Macaca mulatta: one gene and its partners. The protein of the gene in region 1 interacts with the protein of each later gene in a pairwise test. Links are inferred from orthologs where the notes say so. Each region holds a gene or a part of one and is shown on either strand. Other genes may lie near its edges.

The links.
Region 2: the proteins of PSMA3 (region 1) and DMC1 interact in binary tests that used the Homo sapiens proteins (3 or more experiments, as listed by UniProt). The two-hybrid records come from large-scale screens. The link is inferred for Macaca mulatta from reciprocal best matches to the Homo sapiens genes PSMA3 and DMC1.
Region 3: the proteins of PSMA3 (region 1) and FBXO7 interact in binary tests that used the Homo sapiens proteins (3 or more experiments, as listed by UniProt). The two-hybrid records come from large-scale screens. The link is inferred for Macaca mulatta from reciprocal best matches to the Homo sapiens genes PSMA3 and FBXO7.
Region 4: the proteins of PSMA3 (region 1) and AURKB interact in a two-hybrid assay, tested with the Homo sapiens proteins (2 studies listed by BioGRID and IntAct). The link is inferred for Macaca mulatta from reciprocal best matches to the Homo sapiens genes PSMA3 and AURKB.
Region 5: the proteins of PSMA3 (region 1) and ZNF366 interact in binary tests that used the Homo sapiens proteins (3 or more experiments, as listed by UniProt). The link is inferred for Macaca mulatta from reciprocal best matches to the Homo sapiens genes PSMA3 and ZNF366.

What each region holds. Positions count from the first base shown.
Region 1 is NC_133412.1:131,366,945-131,372,489, forward strand, and holds the start of PSMA3 (proteasome subunit alpha type-3), read left to right. Parts: upstream 1-2,107; 5' UTR 2,108-2,160; coding exon 2,161-2,181; intron 2,182-5,285; coding exon 5,286-5,368; intron 5,369-5,545. UniProt on the Homo sapiens protein: Component of the 20S core proteasome complex involved in the proteolytic degradation of most intracellular proteins. This complex plays numerous essential roles within the cell by associating with different regulatory particles.
Region 2 is NC_133415.1:12,992,814-12,997,872, forward strand, and holds part of DMC1 (meiotic recombination protein DMC1/LIM15 homolog), read left to right. Parts: intron 1-1,882; coding exon 1,883-1,974; intron 1,975-3,325; coding exon 3,326-3,399; intron 3,400-3,528; coding exon 3,529-3,643; intron 3,644-4,952; coding exon 4,953-5,013; intron 5,014-5,059. UniProt on the Homo sapiens protein: Participates in meiotic recombination, specifically in homologous strand assimilation, which is required for the resolution of meiotic double-strand breaks.
Region 3 is NC_133415.1:19,016,390-19,021,448, reverse strand, and holds part of FBXO7 (F-box only protein 7), read left to right. Parts: intron 1-313; coding exon 314-541; intron 542-1,470; coding exon 1,471-1,612; intron 1,613-4,155; coding exon 4,156-4,239; intron 4,240-5,059. UniProt on the Homo sapiens protein: Substrate recognition component of a SCF (SKP1-CUL1-F-box protein) E3 ubiquitin-protein ligase complex which mediates the ubiquitination and subsequent proteasomal degradation of target proteins and plays a role in several biological processes such as cell cycle, cell proliferation, or maintenance of chromosome stability.
Region 4 is NC_133421.1:9,715,416-9,719,128, forward strand, and holds the end of AURKB (aurora kinase B), read right to left. Parts: intron 3,615-3,713; coding exon 3,420-3,614; intron 3,178-3,419; coding exon of another isoform or gene 3,132-3,177; coding exon 2,993-3,131; coding exon of another isoform or gene 2,983-2,992; intron 2,883-2,982; coding exon 2,734-2,882; intron 1,622-2,733; coding exon 1,447-1,621; intron 1,276-1,446; coding exon 1,102-1,275; 3' UTR 968-1,101; downstream 1-967. UniProt on the Homo sapiens protein: Serine/threonine-protein kinase component of the chromosomal passenger complex (CPC), a complex that acts as a key regulator of mitosis.
Region 5 is NC_133411.1:78,788,875-78,793,933, forward strand, and holds part of ZNF366 (zinc finger protein 366), read right to left. Parts: intron 2,507-5,059; coding exon 2,332-2,506; intron 1-2,331. UniProt on the Homo sapiens protein: Has transcriptional repression activity. Acts as a corepressor of ESR1; the function seems to involve CTBP1 and histone deacetylases.

The DNA.
Region 1 (5,545 bases):
AACTTTCCAACTAGTATCCCTGTTTCTCTTCTTTCCCTTAGCTATCATTCTTCACACAGAAATAAGAGCTCATTTAATGATTTAAATCAAATCATATAATTCTCCTGCTTTAAAAACTCCTGATAACCTCACAGTAGAAAACCAGTAATAAATGTGAAAGGAATGACGGAATTAGAAAATCACCATTTGGCAACCATTGTAATAATAAATTCAAACAAGAATCATCAGATATTAGAATTAATGAGTGAAATGTTGAGGCGTAAACAGGACGTGTACATATTCTCAAAGTATTTCCTCACAAGATACTAATTACAAAGGTAAAAGTAGAAACATTATCAGGGATAAATCTTCAGCCAGTGATCAAAGTTAACATTATCAGCAATAAAACAACTAACATCATGTCCCTAATACAATGCTCTGACATGAATGAATACAAGGTCATTTCTGTAGTATTCCTGCCACAAATGCATCACTTTAATCAAATAACAACAAAAAAATCAAACCTAAATTAAGGAATATTCTACAAAATAAATGGTTTGTATTCTTCGAAAATCTTCATGTCATGATAACTGAAGAAATACTGCTGGGCGCAGTGGCTCACGCCTGTAATCCCAGCACTTTGGGAGGCCAAGGCGGGCGGGTCACAAGGTCAGCAGATCGAGACCATCCTGGCTAACACGGTGAAACCCCGTCTCTACTAAAAAATACAAAAAATTAACTGGGCGTGGTGGCGGGCGCCTGTAGTCCCAGCTACTCGGGAAGCCGAGGGAGGAGAATGGCGTGAACCCGGGAGGCGGAGCTTGCAGTGAGCGGGAGATCGCGCCACTGCACTCCAGCCTGGGCGACAGAGCGAAACTCCGTCTCAAAAACAAACAAACAAAAAAACCTGAAGAAATACTAAGCAGCTATTTTCCAGACTAAAGCAGACAACTGAATGCAAGGTGTGATCTTGGATTTTCTTTAGCTATGAAGGACTTTATAGGGAAAATTACCGCCCCCAAAAAAGAAAGTTGATAGATCACAGTATTGCTAGTTTTCTAATTTTCACAATAATACTGTGTCTATGTAAAATAATGCTCCTGTGTTGGGGGGGAAATACACACTGACGTATTAATATTTAGGAGTAAAAAAAGGCTGATGCCCTATTTACAATCGGATTAAAATTCAAACCACTTCAAGATTTGCTGTCATGTGCACTTGTTCTCTTCCCGTCACTCTTCCCCACTTAATGAGGGGTCACTCTGACGTGACAGTTCCTAGCGCAAGCCAAGTTTTTTTACTGTTCCCTCAACCACTCTTTTGTTATCCTATTTTAAATATCACTCACTTAGAAAGTCATTCCCTGAGCACACTGCCTAAAGTTAGTACCTCCATTCTCTATTAAAGCACTCTTCCTTCTTACTATTTTGCTTATTTATCGTTATCTATTTCTTCCTACTGAATGTAAATTCCATTAGAAACGGTGGTATGTTCTGTTTACAGTTTTTTCTTGAACACGTGGAATACATTAGCGCTCAATAAATATCTTTAATCAGACATATCTTTAACTCTACCAAAAAGCGTTATACTCATAGAAAGAGTACTAATACTTGTGTAAAATTCCAAGCTGAATTCAAAGACGATACCCTTGAAGCGAAACTTCCCGAGAGCCTGGCATAAGAAGGTGAGGTGGATGCCATCAAGATTCTAGGTCAGGATGGGGACGCGGAGGAAGACAGGTTACTTCGCCCCTACTGCTTTTTCTATTCTTTGTGAGTATACGAGCATCTCTCCCTTTTGCTTAAAGACAGAATACAGTGACGAGGAGGGAATAATAATATAAAAAGATAAATAATAATTCCTAGGAAAGGAATAGAGCAGCTTCTCAGATAAAACGACGCCAAAAACTCAAAGTACGTGAACTAAAGGCGGAGCCTTTGCTTTCCCCAACCCCGCCTCTATTGCTTCTGAACATGCGCGCCGCCAGCCTCTAGCGTCCCGCTTCTTTCCCACAATACTCCTGGTCCTGGGGGCCGGAGCCGCGGAACGAGCCACAGAGAAAAAGGTTATTGGTTGGCGATGCAGCCAATGAGCGGGTCTGTTACTAGTTTGCGGCATCCTGTGGTGTAGGGGAAGCGCTCTAGGCCTGGAATCCTTACGCGTCCAGTTGGGTTTAGCACGATGAGCTCCATCGGCACCGGGGTGAGTTTGCTGTCTCTGGGTGTGATAGTTTAACCTAAGGCTTGGGGTTGAAGGGAACTGGGACAGACCACAAGGGTTTCGCGGACCTGGGGTGCTCTAAGACCGCCTTCGGCTGGGTGGGCCACTTGCAGCTGTTTGGAGACCGGTCGTCTTTATCCCCTATATGCTAGGCCTGCGTCTCAGGTGACCATGACTCCTGAAGCTTTTCAGCCCAGGTGTAGCTGGCTTGGCGTCGCCGCGGTGAGGTTTGGAGCAGCTTTGGATTGCTGAGTCACTTTCTTCAGCCACTTAGGGAAACCGAAAGTGGAAACTCGTGGGGCTTGAAATAGTGTGTTCTCTTGAGAACCACCGAGGCAGTGAGATTTGGGATTCCACGGTCTGGAGATCGTGCTTTCTGTGGACTGCGTTTGCAGTTCCCAGGTTGCTGCTGATTCACGGGCCTTCTCTGTCTTTAAGTGTGCAGATCATCGACCGCTCAGTTTAAGAGTCACTGGAAACCCTGTCGGAACAGAACTAATAAAAATGATCTGAATAACTAAATCTGATGAATCCTTCAGTTTTTCCTTTGTCCTTGTTTTTCCTATACAAAGTACCTAACAGCACTTGTAGGCATTTATCCCGTAAACGTTTAAGTGGTTACTTAGGAACTTAACAGCTTCAGACTTTTGATAGACTGTTGAGGATTTTGCAGTGGGACTTGTTAACTTGTTTGGTTTTCCTTTGTTAAACGTATGTATATGTGCAGTTTACTCCTTTTATGTACTCTATATAGAAAATACAGTTTCTACAAGATTTATTGGTTATTTGCACTAGAGTTACTGAATAATGAGTTTCTCAGTTCCTCAATTTCTACTTAACAAGATTCTCATGCTCAGCCTTAAGTTCAAGTACTGGTGTTCTAAATTTGATAATAGGCAATTTATGTCTGGAATGGTTTAATCCATTCGGTTATGAATGCTAAAGTTCTGCCATACTTTTCTTAGATAAGTAAATGCTCAATAATCTTGTAGCAAACTGACTTTGCAATTATATTATTACCTTCAATTAATAGTATTTCATTCTACAAACCTTTTAAAGAATACTTGATAATATAACCATGTGGGATATTTTAGTAACAATGGTAGGGTTAATGATCTGGGTTTAACAGATCAGGAGGCCGGGCGCGGTGGCTCAAGCCTGTAATCCCAGCACTTTGGGAGGCCGAGACGGGTGGATCACGAGGTCAGGAGATCGAGACCATCCTGGCTAACACGGTGAAACCCCGTCTCTACTAAAAAAATACAAAAAACTAGCCGGGCGAGGTGGTGGGCGCCTGTAGTCCCAGTTACTCGGGAGGCTGAGGCAGGAGAATGGCGTGAACCCGGGAGGCGGAGCTTGCAGTGAGCTGAGATCCGGCCACTGCACTCCAGCCTGGGCGACAGAGCGAGACTCCGAATCAAAAAAAAAAAAAAAAAAAAAACAGATCAGGAAACAGACTCAGAAAGTACCACTGTTGAAGGCTTATCTTCTGTGTTCATTTCTCCCAAGAACTCCAGATATGAATAATTGTTTGTCTGCTTGACACGTCTGTCCACTTGATTGTTTATTTTGTACTGCATGTCAAAGTAGAGCTCTGGGTTTTCTCCTTACCTTGCCATTTTGCATCTACTACAGTCTTCAGCTCAGTGAATGGTCATATGAAAACATCTGTGATTCATCTTTAATTCCTTTTTTTACTTCCAGAACCAACGCTTTAGCAAGTTTTTTTTTTTTTATTTTTTGAGATGGAGTCTTGCTCTGTCGCCAGGCTGGAGTGCAGTGGCACGATCTTGGCTCACTGCAACCTCCGCTTCCCAGTTCAAGCAATTCTCCTGTCTCAGCCTTCCGAGTAGCTGGGACTACAGGTGCACACCACCACGCCCAGCTAATTTTTGTATTTTTAGTAGAGACGGGGTTTCACCATGTTTGCCAGGATGGGCTCGATCTTTTGACCTCGTGATCAGCCTGCCTCGACCTGCCAAAGTGCTGGGATTACAGGAATGAGCCATCATGCCCGGCCTCGCAAGTTTATTTTTATTATTTTTATTTTTTTACTATACTCTGAAAAAGTATTCCCTTCTACCTCTTCTCTTGTCTAAGCTAGTACCACTATCTTTGGAACACCTTATCTTTGCTTCTGTTGTTCTCTCTAGAATTCATTTTCCACATAAAGCCAGAATGATGTTTTTTAAAATGTAGATCATACCACTCCCCCTGCTTAAATTCCTCGTTGCATTTAGAATAAAATACAAAGTCCTTATTGCAGCCTGGAAGACCCAACATAATTTGACCCACAGCTACCTCACTAACACAGTCTACTCTTCTTTCTGCTGCTTACAGTGCTCGGGACACAGTGACGTTACTTCTGTTTCTTGACTGTGCTAGCCTTATTTCTACCCTAAGATCTTTGTGCCAAATGCCAAGAAGGCTTTTCCTTCATATCTTAAATGGCTAGCTTCTTGTCATTTAGGTTTGACTCAGCCTAAATATTACTGCCCCAGAAGGCCTTCCCTGATGATGTAGTCTGTAGTAGTTCCTTCCATTGCTTTACTCTTTTATTTTCATCTTAGTGCCTTTTCTGATTTACTGCTGTATCTCTAGCACCTAGATTCATGTCTGATTTGAAATTGAAGGACTTAATGAATAAGTGATCACCTTTGTATTCCATGTAGTGGACTAACATAATAGATACTCATTAAGTGCTTGGTGAATGCCAAATGATTTGTTTGAAGTCTTTTAGTTTGTTAATTGCAGAGTTATGGTTACAAATTTAAATGTTCGAACTCCAGTGGTGGTTCTACTGCCCCATATTAATCTTTTTCAAAAATGAGTTTTGTAGTCTGTGTGAAAAGTGTTCTGACTTCACCTGGGACTTGTATCCATTACTCTTCAATAGCTGAAATCTAAGGTATATAGCTTTACCTTAGCTACTGTTGCTGCTCTGACAAATTTCCCTTTCCTCTCTTGAAAGCAAGGTCTTTGTTGGGATATAACATGTTCCTGATGCTTAAGCCATTTAGAGGGGAAGAAACTGTATGGTCATTACTGCCAAAGATACAAGCTTACTGTTGCCTTTTCTCCTTAAGTATGACCTGTCAGCCTCTACATTCTCTCCTGACGGAAGAGTTTTTCAAGTTGAATATGCTATGAAGGCTGTGGAGAATAGTAGGTAAGAAAATTTAACCAGGTATTACATGTCTCCTTTTATTTTATATTTTGGTGATTAGGCTTTGTTATGTTACTTTGGTACAAATTAGTATATGTCCCCAAATCTCTATTCATTTCTAGATCTCTTTCTAGGCCAGATGTTTTCCATGAACCCCAGTCCTGTATTTCTCGTTGATTC
Region 2 (5,059 bases), on another chromosome or scaffold:
TGCCCTTATCTTGTCTCCTGCTAAATCATGGAGGTTTGGGGAGTTCCTTCAGACCCCCAATAACTTGTTTGTGGAGACCTGGGGAGTTCTTCAGACCCCCAATAAAACTCGTTTAATCCTAAACAGGTACTGTTAAGAATTCCTTCGTTAACTTGTCATGCTTCAAGACCCAGGAAAGGCCTGGGCCAAACTCTTGGTGGGCTTTTGTTACATTCCAGCCTTTGTATAAGGGCACTTTGAACTTTTAGTATTTAACTTAACCACTCAGTCAGTGCTGAAACAGTTGTTATGGAGGCCTGCATTAGTAAGACCTGGCCTGCCACAACATAGTGTCTGGGATTTGTAGAAGCTGACATGATGAAAATGTTTTTATTGACTCTTCCAATTCCCTGTCTTTAACTTGTCCACCAAAAACATCTACTGGGTATGCTCAATAGCAATGGAAGATTTTTGTGGCCGTTACCAAAGCTCTAACAACAAGAACATATCTAGTGCATTAGGCTATAAATGACTGGGAAATCCTAACGACAATTCAACTAAACAGTTATTAAATTAATTGCAAACATCACAAATAAGATTATAAATAGTCCTTGATTTACAGTTACTTATACTAGGATCAGTGTTATGTAAACTCTATAAACAAAGTGAAATAAGGGCACAAACATGCATTTAATTTTACCTCATTTTACTTCAGACATATTGTTGGGATCACCAAAGACCTAAAAAAAAATGTTTATTACTCCTTTATAGTTTATAGATAGAAGTGATTATTAGCTTCTTCCAAAATACCTTTGCAGGTGCACTTAGTTTGCTTCCCTATGAATTTGCTAATTTCAGAAAGCTAACAACTCCTGGCTAGGCATGGTGGCTCATGCCTGTAATCCTAGCACTTTGGAAGGCCGAGGCAGGCAGATCGCTTGAGGTCAGGAGTTCGAAACCAGCCTGGCCAACATGGCAAAACCCCGTCTCCACTAAAAATACAAAAATTAGCTAGATATGATGGCTTACGCCTGTAATCACAGCTACTCAGGAGACTGAAGGAGGAGAATTGCTTGAACCCAGGAGGCAGAGGTTACCGTGAGCCGACATCATGCTACTGCACTCCAGCCTGGGCAACGGAGTGAGACTTCATCTCAAAAAAAAAAAAAAAGCTAACAATTCCTTTAGAAGAAAGTACATTTTAAACTCTGTATACTTTCCAAGTAAGATTTGAAAAGAAAAAGAAAACCTGTGCAAACAAAAAAACCTTTGGTCTATATTTCTCTTCTGGACCCTTGAAGTTACCTTTTTGACCCTTTGGTTCATGTAGTCACATTTATCATTTAATAACACGTGATTAATGATATAGTAAACTATTTCATATTGAGCAAATGAGGGTTTTGAAGAGAGTGAATTAATCTACTTTGCAGTTACTGAATTATAATTCAGTGATATTATCTGTTATAGGTCTATTATCTATTGTAGATCTGAGAACAAAAAGACTCACAAAGCTTAGTTTCCAGTTTTTCTCTTGTAACCGATTTGCTGCATAAGCTCAAGTCATTTGCCTAATCTCTGTTTCCCAGTGTCCTATGTTGTAAAATGTAAAATAGGCCATAAAAACTAGCTTCCAAGGTTATTGTAAAGATTTGATCATTTAATAGTTAAATTCATTACTGCCCCACATTTCTATGACCATTATCACTACCTATGGTAAGTTGAGGCACTTATGAAAAAACAAATCTTGTATAGACTTTAAATGGTTGCTAGCATCCTCTAGAATACCTTCACAGGTACATTGTTTGGCTTCTCTGTTAATTTATGTAAGATACTATGTTTTGTAGTGGTTGTCTAAGCTTTTTTATAATTGATTTATTGGATCCTTAATCTTGGCATACTCCAGCCGTCCAGATCGCCTTCGGGACATTGCTGATCGCTTCAATGTAGACCATGATGCAGTACTGGACAACGTACTTTATGCACGTGCATATACTAGTAAGAGCCCCATGCAGTTGGATGCTTGGGTCAATGTAAGGTTGGCAGCACTGATTTACTACTTGAGTGATATAACATTTTGATACTTTTTTTCTATTTTAATTTTCTCTAAATTAATTTACTCAGTCTATAAATTTTATCATCTGGTAGGTCCTTAGATAATAAAGTGCCCTTAAATTATTTATTATTCTTAGTCTTTGAAATGAAGAGTAACATTCTTTTTGGATAATGTAGCATTTGGTATATATGCTAAGGCAGAATATGCAATAATTTTTTTTTTTTTTGAGATGGAGTCTCACTCTGTCACTCAGGCTGAAGTGCAGTGGTGCAGTCTCGGCTCACTGCAACCTCCACTTCCCGGCTTCAAGCGATTCTCCTACCTTAACCTCCCAAGTCGCTGGGATTACAGGCACGTGCCACCACACCCAGCTAATTTTTGTATATTTTTTATATATATATATATATTTTATTTATTTATTTTTTTTTTTGAGACGGAGTCTCGCTCTGTCGCCCAGGCTGGAGTGCAGTGGCCGGATCTCAGCTCACTGCAAGCTCCGCCTCCCGGGTTTACGCCATTCTCCTGCCTCAGCCTCCCGAGTAGCTGGGACTACAGGCGCCCGCCACCTCGCCCGGCTAGTTTTTTCTATTTTTTAGTAGAGACGGGGTTTCACCGTGTCAGCCAGGATGGTCTCAATCTCCTGACCTCGTGATCTGCCTGACTCGGCCTCCCAAAGTGCTGGGATTACAGGCTTGAGCCACCGCACCCGGCCATTATATATATTTTTTAAACGAGATAGAGTCTTGCTCTGTCGCCCAGGCTGGAGCATAGTGGTGCAATCACTGCTCACTGCAGCCTCAGCCTCCCAGGTTCAAGCGATTCTCCTGCCTCAGCCTCCCGAGTAGCTGGGATCACTGGCGCCCACCACCGTGCCCAGCTAATTTTTGTATTTTTCTTTTTTTAGTAGAGACAGGGTTTCACCATGTTGCCAGGCTGGTCTTGAACTCCTGACCTAATGATCCGCCTGCCTCGGCTTCCCAAAGTGCTGGGATTACAGGTATGAGCCACCGCGCCTGGCCTAATTTTCGTATTTTTTTAGTAGAGTCAAGGTTTCACCATGTTGGCCAGGCTGGTCTTGAACTCCTGACCTCAAGAAATCCACCCGCCTCGGCCTCCCAAAGTGTTGGGATTACAGGCATGAGCCACCATGCCAGGCTGCGATAATATTTAATAAAGTAATAAATAAGAGAATTCTTCAAGGACTTTCTTTTGCCTGGCTCCCAAGAATATGAATGATCTTAGCCTCTGCTTCTTTCAACTTTTATAACATTTTCTCACTGCATTTCCCACCAGGTGAACATCAGATGGAGCTACTTGATTATGTAGCAGCAAAGTTCCATGAAGAAGCTGGCATCTTCAAACTATTGGTACAAGCTTTTAAATACTGCTTTCACAGAGCTATTTAGCATAATATTTTTATTCTATTGATCTCTATTCAAATAACGTTTTCCTTCAATTTCCAAATGCATGTTTATTTTTACCTTAATCCTGTGTAGATTATCGATTCAATAATGGCACTTTTTCGAGTGGATTTCAGTGGCCGTGGAGAGTTGGCCGAACGGCAGCAAAAATTGGCCCAGATGTTGTCACGACTCCAAAAAATCTCAGAAGGTATATCTTTAAAATAAAATGGCATCTGTGACTATGTTTGTCAAGTATACTTTGCAGAGAAGCTTGGAATATAATGTCAGGAGGCAGTGGTTTTTTTTTTTTTTTTTTTTTTAATAAAATTACCTTCATGAGAATACAACTCTTTTTTTTTTTTTTTTTTTTCTTTTTGAGGCAGTGTCTCGCACTGTTGCCCAGGCTGGAGTGCAGTGGCACGATCTCGGCTCACTGCAACCTCCGCCTCCCAGGTTCAAGCGATTCTTACTCCTTAGCCTCCTGAGTAGTTGGGATTATAGGCACCTGCCATCATGTCTGGCCAATTTTTTGTATTTTTAGTAGAGATGGGGTTTCACCACGTTGGCCAGGCTGGTCTCAAATTCCTGACCTCATGATCTGCCCACCTCAGCCTCCAAAGTGCTGAGATTACAGGCATGAGCCACTGCACCCAGCTTTACAACTGTTTTTTTAAACCAAAAATATTTATTATTTATTTTTATTTATTTATTTATTTTTTTTTGTTGCCGGGGCTGGAGTACAGTGGCCGGATCTCAGCTCACTGCAAGCTCCGCCTCCCGGGTTTACGCCATTCTCCTGCCTCAGCCTCCCAAGTAGCTGGGACTACAGGCGCCCGTCACCTCGCCCGGCTAGTTTTTTGTATTTTTTTAGTAGAGACGGGGTTTCACCGTGTTAGCCAGGATGGTCTCAATCTCCTGACCTCGTGATCCGCCCGTCTCGGCCTCCCAAAGTGCTGGGATTACAGGCTTGAGCCACCGTGCCCGGCCCAAAAATATTTATTCTAACCTTAATAATAATAATAACAAATAATTTTTGTTGTCAATGAAAAATAGGAATATGATGTTATTTATAAAATAAATTCATGATGCAATATTCCTAAACTCTAAAATCTAAACGATGAACTTTTAAATATCTATATTGCCTCTCTTGGCTCGCGCCTGTAATCCCAGCACTTTGGGAGGCCGAGGCGAGCGGATCACTTGAGGTCGGGAGTTCGGGAGTTCGAGACCAGCCTGACCAACATGGAGAAACCCCGTCTCTACTAAAAAATATAAAATTAGCCTGGTGTGGTGGCGCATGCCTCTAATCCCAGCTACTCGGGAGGCTGAAGCAGGAGAATCACTTGAACCCAGGAGGCGGAGGTTGTGGTGAGCCGAGATCACGCCATTGCACTACAGCCTAGGCAACAAGAGTGAAACTCCGTCTCCAAAAATAAATAAATAAATAATAAATAAATAAATATATATATATATATATAGCCTTTCTCATAGTTTTAAAATTTTATCTCTTGATACAGAATATAATGTGGCTGTTTTTGTCACCAATCAAATGACTGCCGATCCAGGAGCAACTATGACGTAAGCCCCAATATTCTACTTTTTATTTCACAGAGGTTAACATAAA
Region 3 (5,059 bases), on another chromosome or scaffold:
TGTTTAGGAGTTAGTTTCAGTGGAACTTTGAAGACTGATCAGATTTGGGACAAGGTTTAGTTAGGTAGAGGGAGGAGTCTAGGATGATTTCCAGGTTTTTGACATATCGGCTAGAATTAACAGGTGAGGAATTGAGGATGGAAGAGTAGGTTGCAGGCTTATTTATTTATAAGGACTTACTTAAAATGTCTCCCATTTCTGAACCCAGTGATGTACTTTGACTTTCAGCACTTAGTTCACGTTAGGATACAAAAAAGTATTGTGTAAAAATAAGTCTTTTTAATTAATTCGTTGTTTTGTTTTCCTTTTTCAGTTAGGGCCTAGTCAAAATTTTGAAGCTGAGTCAATTCAAGATATTGAGGATATGGCAGAGGGCACAGGTTTCTATCCCTCAGAACCCATGCTCTGTAGTGAATCGGTGGAAGGGCAAGTGCCACATTCATTAGAGACCTTGTATCAATCAGCTGACTGTTCTGATGCCAATGATGCCTTGATAGTGTTGATACATCTTCTCATGTTGGAGTCAGGTTACATGCCTCAGGTAAGTACTGCAAGCAAAACACAAACATCTTATAATTGCTCATACATGTGGATGGTTCCTGCTGTCAAGTTGCCCATAGTCTGAGAGTGGCAGAGATAGACAGAAATATAAAGCATTGTGCTATATTGGTGAAGTTCTGGGAGAGACATATTCATATATAGGATGCCAGGAATTCATGGAGGAGAACATTTAGAATATTGCTTCTCAAACTTTAATGTGCTTTGGAATACCTGGGGACCTTATTAAAATGCAGATTCTGATTTAGTAACTGTAGAATGGACCATGTACTTCTTCATACTCCTGCATAATACCAATGTTGCTGGTCTGAGAGCCATGTTATAAGTTAAAAAGATATAGAGTAATTAGGTGATCAGTGCACACCTGCAGCATGCCATGCACTGACCCAGAAATTAGGATATAAAAACATTGGGATATTTCCTGTCCTCAAGGAGTCCATACATAAATAGAGGAGAGAGACAAATAAAAAGATAATCAGAAATAACACAAGTAAACATAGATAATAATACAGTTGAAGTGTAACGGAAATATGAATAGACTGTTAGGGGACGAAAGGAAATGGCAAACAATTTTTCTTTGAAAAAGGCTTTACAGAGGAAGTGATATTTGGTTATTTTGGAGTTTTAAATAATCATATGGTTTTGCTAGGCAGAGAAGTGAGTCTTGGAAGAGAGAGATCAATCCCTGTTTCCATATTGCAATTTTACCTGTTTGAACAAAAATTTTGATTAAAAGTGTTGTAATATATTATCCTACAATATAAAATATAATGGCAATATTAATGATGCATTGTATTAAGAGGACTATGTGGAATGATTATTTCAAACAAGTTAGGAGTCTTTTGGATTTTTAATCTTTTTGAGAGTAACACCTTTCTTCATTATTTGTTTCCCTTTCATTTCGTTCCCCAGGGCACCGAAGCCAAAGCACTGTCCATGCCGGAGAAGTGGAAGTTGAGCGGGGTGTATAAGCTGCAGTACATGCATCCTCTCTGCGAGGGCAGCTCCGCTACTCTCACCTGTGTGCCTCTGGGAAACCTGATTGTTGTAAATGGTAATTGAATAGCATAGTCATGGTTGCTCGTTTATGGATTCTTAGACGTTTCTTTCCAAATGTTTTATAGCCACTTCAGTGATTGGCTATCATGATACAGTTGTGAGTCCTTCTCAACTTTATTGAATTCCTAGACCACTGATAACATGTGTCTGGAAGATTATAGAGTAAGAGGTTGTTGGGTTGTTTAGGCCAGCACCCTTCACTCTTAGGGCATCCATTTTCTTGATGTCTTAATCTTTGTAATATTTTGCTCTGGGGGGTAATATTTAATATTATCCAATATTATCAATATTTGATAATATGAGTGAAATGAGCCTATTATACATGAACTCTTTGGAGAATACTTTTTCTTTATCCCTGTGGATGGCTTTATTTTTTTAACGAAGGTCTTGAACTGAGACATGGGGAACTAGAGCTGGGGTCACCATTTATCCAAGTTCGCATCTCTGTGGCCAGCAGTGCACAACAACAATGCTAAGTTTACTGAGGCCTTAGTAAGTGTGTGTTTTATTTACTGGGCCTCCCCCAACAAATGTCACTCTGCATAAATAACTTTTCCTGTCTCCTTTTTCATATTAATAAATTTCACTGGAATAGCAAGGCATTCCATCTTTGTGTTTTAGTTCAGATACCACTTTGGTTCATATCAACTCCTAGTAGTCTATCATAATCACACATCCTGGAGATCCATTTGAATGACTAGGAGCTTTCATTTTTATTCTGTTTTGTTTTTTGAGGTTTATCCTTTTAGTTAGAAAGATAGTGTGGCAAGATTGGGAGGGCTGCATTTGTTGTTTTGTTTATTCAGTATAGCTCATCTTTTTTGTTTAGCAAAGGAAGTTGCTTTGATAAGCCTTAGGTCAAAGGTTTAGGTCAGGTTTTCAGTATGTTCTGCAGCTGCTCCTTTGCCTAGATGAAAGTTAGGTAGAAGCCTTATCACCACTTAAAAGCAGCGAAATGTTTATCTGTTTCATTTATTGAAGTTTTGTGTGAGATTCTGTTTGAAAAAAATGGTGGTTGTTTTTTTTTCCTGCTAAAATCTATTTTGAAAGCTACTGACTTATGCTGTCTTGATCTTTGAGATGTTGGATAGTTCTCATTCCCCTCTTACGAAGTTTCTTTTTCTTTTTCTTTTTTTTTTTTTTTTGAGACAAGGTCTTGCTCTGTCACCTAGGCTGGAGTGCAGTAGCCAGAGCATGGATCATTGCATCCTTGACCTCCTGGGCTCAAGCGGTGTTCCTCCTTGGCCTCCTGAGTAGCTAGGACCACAGGCGTGTACCACCACACCTGGCTATTTTTTATTTATATTCTGTAGAGATGAAGTCTCACTGTGTTGCCCAGCCTGGTCTCGAACTCCTGGGTTCAAGCAGTATTCCTGCCTTGACCTCCCAAAGGGCTGGGATTACAGGTGTGAACCACGCCTGGCCTCTTAAGAAATTTCTATTTCTTTAGTCATAAGATTCTTTGAAATGTTATTTAAAAGTCTCAAAACGTTAGGTTTTAATAGCTTTGGTGGTACTTCACGTTTGTCAGGACATGACTGTCTGATGACACTAGGACCTAGCAATGTCTATTCAGCAGTTCATCATAATTAGCAGATGTAGCTTTTAGTCTGGCATTCTTGTACACAGAGTGTCAACAGTTTCTGCCTTCATCTCATCATTCTGCTACATCACATCATAACTTGCAAGGTTGAAGTTACCAAATAGTAAATGTGTAGTTGCAAATTTTGCCTTGATTTCTTATAAAAGCACTTAATGACATGTATAATAACCTCTATTCATTAGATTCAGAATACTTAATATAAAAAGAATAACTACTGAATGTCTTGATGATTTCTTAATTTCTCATACTTTGTTTCTTTACTGTTCTTGGCAAATCAGCTCTTGGCAGACTTGCATGGCAGCCAGCCATTCCAGGATTGATTATTTGAAAAGAGCAGTGTGTCTTTAAATCTTTCCTTCACTCCAGGCATCCTGCTTTGTGCACATGTGCATAAGCACATCACTGGGCTCTTTCATGGAATGAGTTGAAGTGCACCTTTGTATACATGATTAAAATTGAACCCTCTGGTGATGTCAAGAATATTGGTCCTTTGGGTCTGGAAGAGAGATGATGCTCTGAAAACTAGCAAGATTATTTTAATGAACAAGGGAAGACTCATTGCCAAGGGTTAAATAAAAGATAAATGGAGTTTTTACTGACTTCATTAGAAATAATGATTTTATTGTGTTTAGTTGCCTCTGATTAGCCTTGTTGCGTATCTTTCAATTACTAATAAGCTGCTGCCTAGTAGATTTTATATAAAGATGCTTACTGTAGTTTTTAAAGGTGGTGTTGTAGAGTGATTTTACTTCATGTGATGCCAGGTTTACACTTTTGAACTTGCTGTCAGAGAAAGAAATAGGCGAAGAACAGTTTGTTTTATATAATGTGTCCTTAGTATATTAGGAGCAAGGAAATGCAAGCCCATACTAAAAAAGAAAGGCAGTTGATGAAGTGACAGAATTTTTTATCATCTTTCTTTTGTTTATTTACAGCTACACTGAAAATCAACAATGAGATTAGAAGTGTGAAAAGATTGCAGCTGCTACCAGAATCTTTTATTTGCAAAGAGAAACTAGGTAATATAAACATTATTTAACTTTTGGAGTGAAACTCTGTGAAATTCGTGTAAGAAAAAAATCTGAAAGATAATGTTCAAAAGACAGAAAATTTCTATGTGAGATTAAAGCATATGTAAGATAATGTGGTTTGCTTAAGAATGCAAAGGTTTAAAAAATGCGAAAGTTTTGCTTATAATTTGAGGAGTTTGTTTCTTTCCTGTTTTTCTTAGGGTCATAGAGTGCTGAATTATATTGTTATGAGATAACACTAGTATGTAATTTATTACACTCTGATGATAGTTCATAGTTTCTGTACTAATCTTTGGAGATCTCTCTGGCATCATATTTAACCAATATAGAGATCTGTGTTTCATGGAAGTAATTCAAGTTCATTATTAAAGATTATTGGAGGAAAAACTGCAGTCAAAATCTTTGTTTAAACCTACATAAATTTGATTGCTGTTTTATACAGATTGATACTTTACCAAAAGTTTGCATTCTAGATAAGGTTTTGCCTAAACTCTCTAAAATTATTAATAGATGCAAAGAAGACAGATTTTCCTTTTTATCATTTCTCAGTTAAACCAAACTGTGAGAGGCAGTTACAGGTGGTTGGAGGAGAAGAGATAAGGTGGAGAGGGGAACTGACATTTTTTAAGTGCCTGTTTCATTCTGCACTTGTGTCCGTACATATGTTATTCCATTTAATCTTCTTAGTAAACTTAGGAGGGTTTTAAGAGCCTAGTGGGAATGTTGTGGTACAGTGGGAAGATGGCATTTATAGCAGTCCTTTAGGAAAGGCTGGCTAGATTGACATTGTTGCTTTGAAGGTCTAAAG
Region 4 (3,713 bases), on another chromosome or scaffold:
AGAGGAGGTTGGAGGTTGCAGTGAGCCGAGATCAGGCCACTGCACTCCATCCTGCACCACAGGGTGAGGCTCCGTCCTGCTCTGTCGCCAGGCTGGAGTGCATTGGTGCGATTTGGGCTTGCTGAAACCTCCACCTCCCCAGTTCAAGAGATTCTCCTGCCTCAGCTTCCTGAGTAGCTGGAATTATAGGCATGCACCACCATGCTCAGCTAATTTTTGTATTTTTAGTAGAGATGGGGTTTCACCATGTTGGCCAGGATGGTCTCGATCTCTTGACCTCGTGATCCGCCCGCCTCGGCCTCTGAAAGTGCTGGGATTGCAGGCATGAGCCAGATTGCAGGCATCTGGACTTAACTTTTTTTTTTTTTTTTTTTTTTTAAAGACTGAGTAAACTAGGAGTAAATAGGCCCTATTTAACCTGATAAAGGGTATCTATCAAAAACCTACAGCAAGCATCATACATGACAGTGAAACCTTGTGTCAGGAACAAGACAGAATCACTACTGCTTCTATTGGCTCCTGTACTAGATCCTGACCAGAGCAGTAAAAGAATCAAAGACAGTTTCTAGGGTACAGAATTGTTCAGCTGCTCCTACGCTGGCAAAGGGGCAGAGAATGAAACAGAAAAGGAAAAACTAGAAGTTGGACAACCAAGAGAGAGGTGAAAGAAGGTGGCCAGAGATGGCTGGTGTTCCAATGTAGCAATGGGGAGCCAGGGCCCCCAGTGCCCCCGGGCTCTGGGAGTCAGAGCAATGGAAAGAACAGACAGGGTAGAGGTGAAAGTGGGGGTAGGGGTGGGGGTGGCTGGGAGCTGACCAGGTGGGTGTCAGAGCTGAGAGGGTTGGGTGTTACCAGGGATAGCAAAGCAATGCTCATCCCAGCTCCTCAGGGTGAGCCACCTCTCCTTCTAGGGAACAGCTTCCTCCACAGCAAAGCCTCCACCTAGAAACAACTACACGCATCAGTACAAAAAGCTTCAGCCTTTATTAAACAAAGGAGGAGGTAGAAGACAGATAAGGGAACAGTTCAGGATCCCTTCTTTCCCCTATACATACACAAACATACAAAACACAGACACACCCCAGTGAATGACAGGGACCATCAGGCAACAGATTGAAGGGCAGAGGGAGGCAGCACCCTCCGAGAGTTGGCCCGGACCCAGGGGTGGGCTGAGACCTGGGCCAGGGGCAGCCGTTCCGAGGGGTTATGCCTGAGCAGTTTAGAGATGAGGTCCTGGGCTCCCGTGGGCACAGAAGCGGGGAACTTTAGGTCCACCTGCAGGTGTGAAGAGATGGAAGGGCTGCATTACTTTCACCCTGGCTACATCTTCCTTGACTACCCATTCTGTCTGGAGTTACTTAGGGCCACGCGGATACACTCTGCCCACCCCCAGCCCCCCAGCCCCTGGCCTCTGGAGCTGGCACGAAGCCCAGGCCGCCCTCCCACCTTGACGATGCGCCGATAGGTCTCGTTGTGTGATGCGCTCTCAAACGGTGGGTTTCCCACCAGCAACTCATAGCAAAGCACTCCAATGCACCACAGATCCACCTTCTCGTTGTGTGTGCGCCCCTCAATCATCTCTGGGGGCAGGTAGTCCAGGGTGCCACACATTGTCTTCCTCCTGGGAGGGATAAGGGGCGTGGGCAGGGGTCCCAGTGACATAGGAACTCTCCTTTCCCTGCTACCTGATGGCAGGGAGCCAAAAGACCACGGGAGGTACCAGGGGAGAGGTCCAGCCAGGCAGGGTTACTGGAGTGGGGGTGGGGTTGGGGTGATGACATATCTGAAAGCCCCAGAGGTAAGCCTGCACACAGCCCCAGCAACTCCACGCTGAAGGATATGTCTTAATGAGATACTCTGCTATGAGGGCAGTGTTCATTTGGAGTTCATTTTGGAGTTCACTGGGGACATCTCTAATGCCCATCAGGCATGTTCTGCTTAAATAAATCAGCTACTATGTGATACTATGAAACCGTTAAAAAATGATGTGGGAGGAAAAAAGGCCACTGCTCCGGGCTTTTTTGAGACAGAGTCCAGGATGGAGTGCAAGGGGGCGATCTTGGCTCACTGCAACCTTTGCCTCCCGGATTCAAGTGATTCTCATGTCTCAGCCTCCCGCACAGCTGGGATTGCAAGTGTGCACCTCCATGTCTGCTTAATACATTTTGTATTTTTAGTAACGATGGGGTTTCGCCATGTTGGCCAGGCTAGTCCGCTAGCCTTGAACTCCTGGCCTCAAGTGATCCACCTGCCTTGGCCTCCCAAAGTGCTGGGATTAGCAGGCGTGAGCCACCGCACCTGGCCAAAGTTTTACCATTGGCTCATACGGGGATCAAACCCATGACCTTGGGGTTCTTAGCACCACATTCTAACCATTTTGTTTGTTTTTTTTGAGAGGAGTCTCACTCTGCCGTCCAGGCTGGAGTGCAATGGCGCAATCTCGGCTCACTGCAACCTCCGCCTCCCAGGTTCAAACAATTCTCCTGCCTCAGCCTCCCGAGTAGCTGGGATTACTGGTGTCCGCCACCATGCCCGGCTAATTTTTGTATATTTAGTAGAGACAAGGTTTCAGCATGTTGGCAAAGCTAGTTTCGAACTCCTGACCTCAGGTGATCTGCCCGCCTCAGCCTCCCAAAGTGCGGGTATTACAGGCGTGAGCCAGCACGCCCAGCCCCTGGAGAGGTTTTAACGGCCCCGCCTCACACCCAGGGCTGGCCTCCCAGGCCACCATACCTCAGGGAGGGCGCATGCACAGACCAGCCAAAGTCAGCAATCTTCAGCTCTCCCTTGAGCCCTAAGAGCAGATTCTCTGGCTTTATGTCTCTGTGAATCACCTTTTTCCCGTGGCAGTACATCAGAGCATCTGCCAACTCCTCCATGATCTGGGAGGGGCAACGACAGGCAATCAGACAAGGATGGACCTCCAGCTACAAGCAGCACACCCTCAGCCTCCAGCCCCCTACTGGCGGCCCAGGTGCCCACCCGCCCGGACCGTGGCTGTTCGCTGCTCGTCAAATGTGCGGCTCTTCTGCAGCTCCTTGTAGAGCTCCCCGCGGGGCGCATACTCTAGAATCAAGTAGATCCTCCTCCGGTCATAAAAATAGTTGTAAAGACGCAGGATGTTGGGATGGCTGAGGGAAGAGACAGAGGAAGCCTCAGGCCAAAGGCATAAAAGAGCTGGGAAAGATAATAGGAGCAAACTGGGGTCAGACGTGGCCCAGGCTGGGGACACCAGGAATGGGAGTGGGAAGGGGAAACTGGAGGCAGATTTCTGGATTCAAGGCTCTGGCCAGGACTAAGGGCTAAATGGGGCTCACTAGCCGTAGCTACAGAGAACGCAATCTGGATGAGGTAGGGCTGAGTGAGGAGCTGGGGTGAGGGAGCAGAGGGGCTTCGGCTCAGGGGGCATCAACCCATACTGCAGGTGGGCCTGGATTTCGATCTCTCTGCGCAGCTGATGCTCCACGCCCTCCTTCTCTATCTGGGACTTGAAGAGGACCTTGAGCGCCACGATGAAATGGCTTTTCTTCTCCCGAGCCAAGTACACGTTTCCAAACTTGCCTTTGCCTAGAGGACGCCCAATCTCAAAGTCATCAATTGTGAAGTGCCGCCTGCTTAGAAAGTGGGGGAAGGCAACTCAGAACCGGTTTTGGTTATTAAGAGGTTTGCTTTCTCTCCGCTTCCTCATCTCATCCTGTCCCCCGCCCCACTGC
Region 5 (5,059 bases), on another chromosome or scaffold:
CGTTTTATCATAAAAAAAGTAAATCAATAATAAAGGCATTTTCATCTTGAACAAAACAAAGATATCCCATTTGGGGCAGCAGACACCACCCCAGGACTGTGGCCCCTATGCCAACAGCCTACTCATAGACAGGGTAGGGGTGGCATGAAGAGGTCCTCTGAGGAGCTCACACAGCTCCTGTGTCTGACCACCAGTGTCCCTGCTGTTGGGCACAGTGATTCACGGAAGCCTCACTTTGGGCTTCAGTTTGCAGGGCTGTAGGGATGGGCTTTTCAGCATGGCAGTTTCATTTGATCCTATCTTTAAGACCTTGACCTTTGATGAGTCAATAGGCAGTCCTCCAGGGACAGGCTGGACACTGAGGACGAGCAACAGCAAGGGAGGGGTCCTGGGGTGCAGCTAGACCAGGCTTCTGGGAGCGGGGTGCAAAAAAGAAGGGTAGGGGCGATGATGTTCAATTGTGTTCACTTTTTGATGCTGTCAGGCAATGAAACTGTCTGTATCTTTAATCTTGTCAGGGGACAGGAAAGATCTTTTTAATGATTTTTGAGCGATTTCAAAAGCTAGAGTGAAAAATAAAAGCTAATACCCTTTGTAGATGAAAACACTAAGATTGTTGAAAGTCTGTTAAAATTTTTCAAAGCAACCCTCTGATAGTTATTTTTCCAGAACAACAGAGCTGTTAGGTGCCTTTTAGGATTTGAGCAGCAGTGTGGGGTAAGTCATGGCAACCAGTTCGTGCTTTCAGATGGAGTGTGGTCTCCTCATTGACTTGTATGTCTCCCATCCTGATGACAGAGCAAACCTCACTTCTTCTGGAAAAATCCAGGCCTAGCTTGGGGAAGTGGCTCAGGCAACTAGAGATTCAGTGAATAATTCAAGAGAAAAACGTTTGCAGGAAAAACAAAATTGTTTTTGTTTTAACTACATTTTTTTTCAGGGCTTTTGAACAAATTCCAGCTCTTGTTTTGTGACCACAGCTCCCTGTGATCCAGGAGTTACTAGAAACTCAGTGGGTACTATGAAAAACCTGAAAGTTACAACCATTTTGTTTCACACTGTGTGTGCATATGTGTATCTATTTATGAATATGCTCACCCACTTGACCATCTCTTTTGTAAGGAGGTGAGTGAAACAGCACACAAACAAATCACCCCATGTTTCTGCCTAGGGTAGTGAGCACTGGCTTGATTCAGAAATTAAGTTGGAATCCCAGTTTTGTCTTCAGACTTGCTGTTTGACCTTGAGCAGTTTATCTAACATCTCTAGGCCTTGGTCTCCTCTTATACAAAATAAGAATAACACAGTCTCTTTCATGGCATTGTAGGGCCAAGCAATAATGTCCCTAAGGGGTCTCACCCCGTGCTTTGATGATACTAGTGACCGAAAAGCTGTTAAGATGATTTTGTAAATTACACATAAAATTGTCTTCTCTCCCCATGCACAGACATCCTAGAGGGCAGATGGTCTCCTTCCCCTAGTATCTGCTGCTGCGTGTAGTTCACTGCTTTGGACACAGGGGCATTTATTGCCTGTTTATTGAAGGACTGGTTGATTAGACAATTAAGGAGCAACCCGGCTGAATTCAGTAGATCTGGAACATAAACTCTTCACTCCCAAGGGCCCTGGGACTGAGAAGGTAAAGGTGGTAAGAACTTTTCATTAGTTCAGTGAGGACTCAGTGGGGGAGGTGTAAACCCCGGCTCTGCATATGGGCCAATCAGCCCTACCTACCAAGCAGGAAAATTGTCCCTGGGTGTGTCTGGTCATGAACAAGTAGGAAACACCTAGCCTGCTACCAACATAGTTCTGCTAACAGTAGGGCTTGCACATCTGTTTTCTAAAAAGGAAAGAAAAATTGCATTCCCATTCACAGCAATGCCATGAAGTGGGTACAATAAAGTCTGCAGAGTCAGAAAGGCCTAGGTTCAAATCTTGACTCTGCCACTTTTCAGCAGAGCAACTTTGGGCAAACTGATCTCTTGAAGCCTTCATTGCCCCACTGTAAAATAGAAATAATAGAAGTTCTTCCAGCCTGGAGTTGCCATGAATATTAGCGACAAGGCACCTGATGTAGTGTCTGGAACAAAGGAACCAATAATGGTACCAACTGGCATCAGGATGACAGTCCTATTTACTCTAATTCACTTGTACTTACTACCTTCAGAAATTAGCATGAGATTTTTTTCTAGTAACATTAGAAGGCTACTCCTGCTACTCTGCTGTGGTCTTGACAAGAGTAACCCTCAAGGTAATGCCCCATAAAATGAACTCAGCTCCCATTTGCTGTCCACTGGACTGACTCGCGGGGCTTCCCAGAAGAGTGATTACCTTGGGAATGAAGGCCCCGCTCCATGACTCCGTGCTTGACTTTCATGTGGCGTGTCAGGTTCCCCTTCAGGGTGAATTTGCTTGGGCAATAGAGGCACTTGAAGGGTTTGCTGTCCGAGTGCAGGTGCATGTGGCCCATCAGGTTGTGCATCCGGTTGAACTCCTTCCCACAAAGCTGTCAAAGATGGGAATGAGAACACAGGTTACTCTGCCTGAGTGAAGCCCCATCCAGGCCCCTGGAGCACAGATACCGCTTCTACTTTGTTTGGACCTTGACATTTTAATCTACTTGCAAGGAAAATGTCCATAAGGAAATCAGGAAGGAGCCTCAAAGGTGGAGCAAGTGGGGGTAGATTCATGAGATTTGTTCCTGGAGTTTAGAAACCTTTAAATACAAAGTAAAAATATCAAAGCTTGTAAAACTTCTTTTGAATAAAAGCTTTGGAAAAGGAGAAGAGCTGATCTGAAAAGCAGTGGCTACAAGTGTTCCTCCTTTAATAATAAGAATGTGATTATGTGTTTAATATTTATGCAGCAGTTGCAATATGGAAGGCATTGTTCTAAGTCTACCATGGAATATCTTATTTAATTCTCACACCAATCATATGAGATGGTTGCTGTTACCATCCCCATTTTACAGATGCACAATCTGAGGACTTACGTCACTTGGCCAAGGCACACAAGTAGTGGGTGCTGTAGCTGGGTTAATGAACTCAGGCCATCAGATGCCAGAGGCCACATGGTCAACCACCAGACCACATTGTGTGTCTCCCAGCACAACTCTTCTGTATCAGGCAGAAGAGAATAAAAGAATACACTGTATTATTATATATGATGTATCACACAATGCTTTTTAAATTGCTTTATTTTCTAATTACTGGTATGGATTTCAAAGTTAAAAAAATGACAAATCATCTCAGGAAGGAACGTGTCTTTTCTCTGGGTAGAAATTTGAAGTAGTGAGAGTGTACAAAAAGTAAACATGTTTTACTCTTTCTCATCATTCTATTTCAATCGAACTGCAAATACATGAAGGACAACTGGTTCTCCAACTGCTTTTGGAAGAAGAGCAGAACTTTCTTCTCACAGGTGATTTTGTATAGGCAGAAAGAGGAACCCAGAAGCAGACTGCTTTGGGGGAGCTTTTGTTGTCCCCAAGCCTTACTAGAACAGGAACATTTCAGGCTGTGGTAGGAGGAATGCAAACAGTGATTTTGTGTCTGTGATTGGACAAGAATGTTAAGAGAGAAGAATTCTCCTTCCCTCCCCAACCTCAGAGGCCAGTGGAGCTGGGGCAGCACTACATAGTGAGAGAGGCCACAGAGACCCTCAGGGTGAGGCATCCTCTGAGCTTACACCAGTTTTCCTTCCTAACTGAGATATATTTTTAGGGCCAATGTTGGGGATTCTGGATTAAATTTTTATTGATGAAGGCAACAATTTCATTAGTTGGCTACGGAAGATGAGTGTTGAGCTCGTCTTGAAAGAGTAGATAGACCTCTCCAATGATGATTTGGGGAGTTTAGCCTAGAAGAATGCTGGGTCCATGTATGGACAATGAATGGCTGGCTCTGTATTCTTGAATGATTCATGTTTGAGAATTGTAAGTACTTTCCCCGCTTTTGCTCTCTCTTACTAGCATGAATGAATTTGGCCTACTGGGTGGGGTTCCAAGCTCAGCATCCAGATAGAGCATCTGCATGCCACATTCATTTGAAAATGGTGACCTAAGAGGAGAAAAGGATGACAGAACTGGTCTAATTCCAACTTTTGCAAGAGAAGCAATATGCAGGATAGATGACTCTTTTATTCTCAATTGAGATAATTTAGTAAGATGTATCAATCTGTGGCTCAGTCATGCATATGTGTAAAAGTTCTATTAGAGTTATGCTTATTAGCTTAATTTGCCCACTTCTCCACCATCATGGCTGAAGGCTCTCTTTTTTTTTTTTTTTTTTTTTTTTTCTGAGACAGAGTCTCGCTCTGTTGCCCAGGCTGGAGTGCAGTGGTACCATCTTGGCTCACTGCAGCCTCCACCTCCCAGGTTCAAGAGATTCTCGTGCCTCAGCCTCCCAAGTAGCTGGGACTACAGGTGCCTGGCTAATTTTTGTGTCTTTAGTAGAGATGGGGTTTCTCTGGCCATGTTGGCCAGGCCAGTCCCAAACTCCTGACCTCAAGTGATCCATCTGCCTCAGCCTCCCAAAGTGCTGGGATTACAGGGGTAAGCCACCATGCTAGGCCAAAAAGAAGCTTTGAAGCTAGAGATTCTACATTAAGAATTTCCAGTCATGGGTCATTTTTAGAAAAAGCATACCTTATTTGGATTGTGGGATGGTTCCTGGTTATTTGGAGTGAAGTTGCTGTTACAGTTGCTGAGCATAACCAGTATTTGGTTCATATATATTTTCACTCAGGAGACTGCAACACGCGTTGAAGCTTTGTCTGCTTTTTTATTTATTATCTGCCTAGTATTGGTGTGACACATCATAGTTCCTCAGTAAGCATCTGCTGAGTGAGGAAAGGGGTGGGAAACACAGCCACGGAAGAACAGATCAAATGAAAAGCCATGAGTGGTTAAGGACAAGGCATGTAGGGGGAGAGAAGCTGAAGGCCAGAAGATCAATTAGGCTAGTATACCAGTCCAGGCATGAACGGGGTCTCGAGGTCCTATAGGCCAGAAAGAGTCCATTGAAAAGAAGTGACAAGCACCTTCTGCACTTGGCTCGCA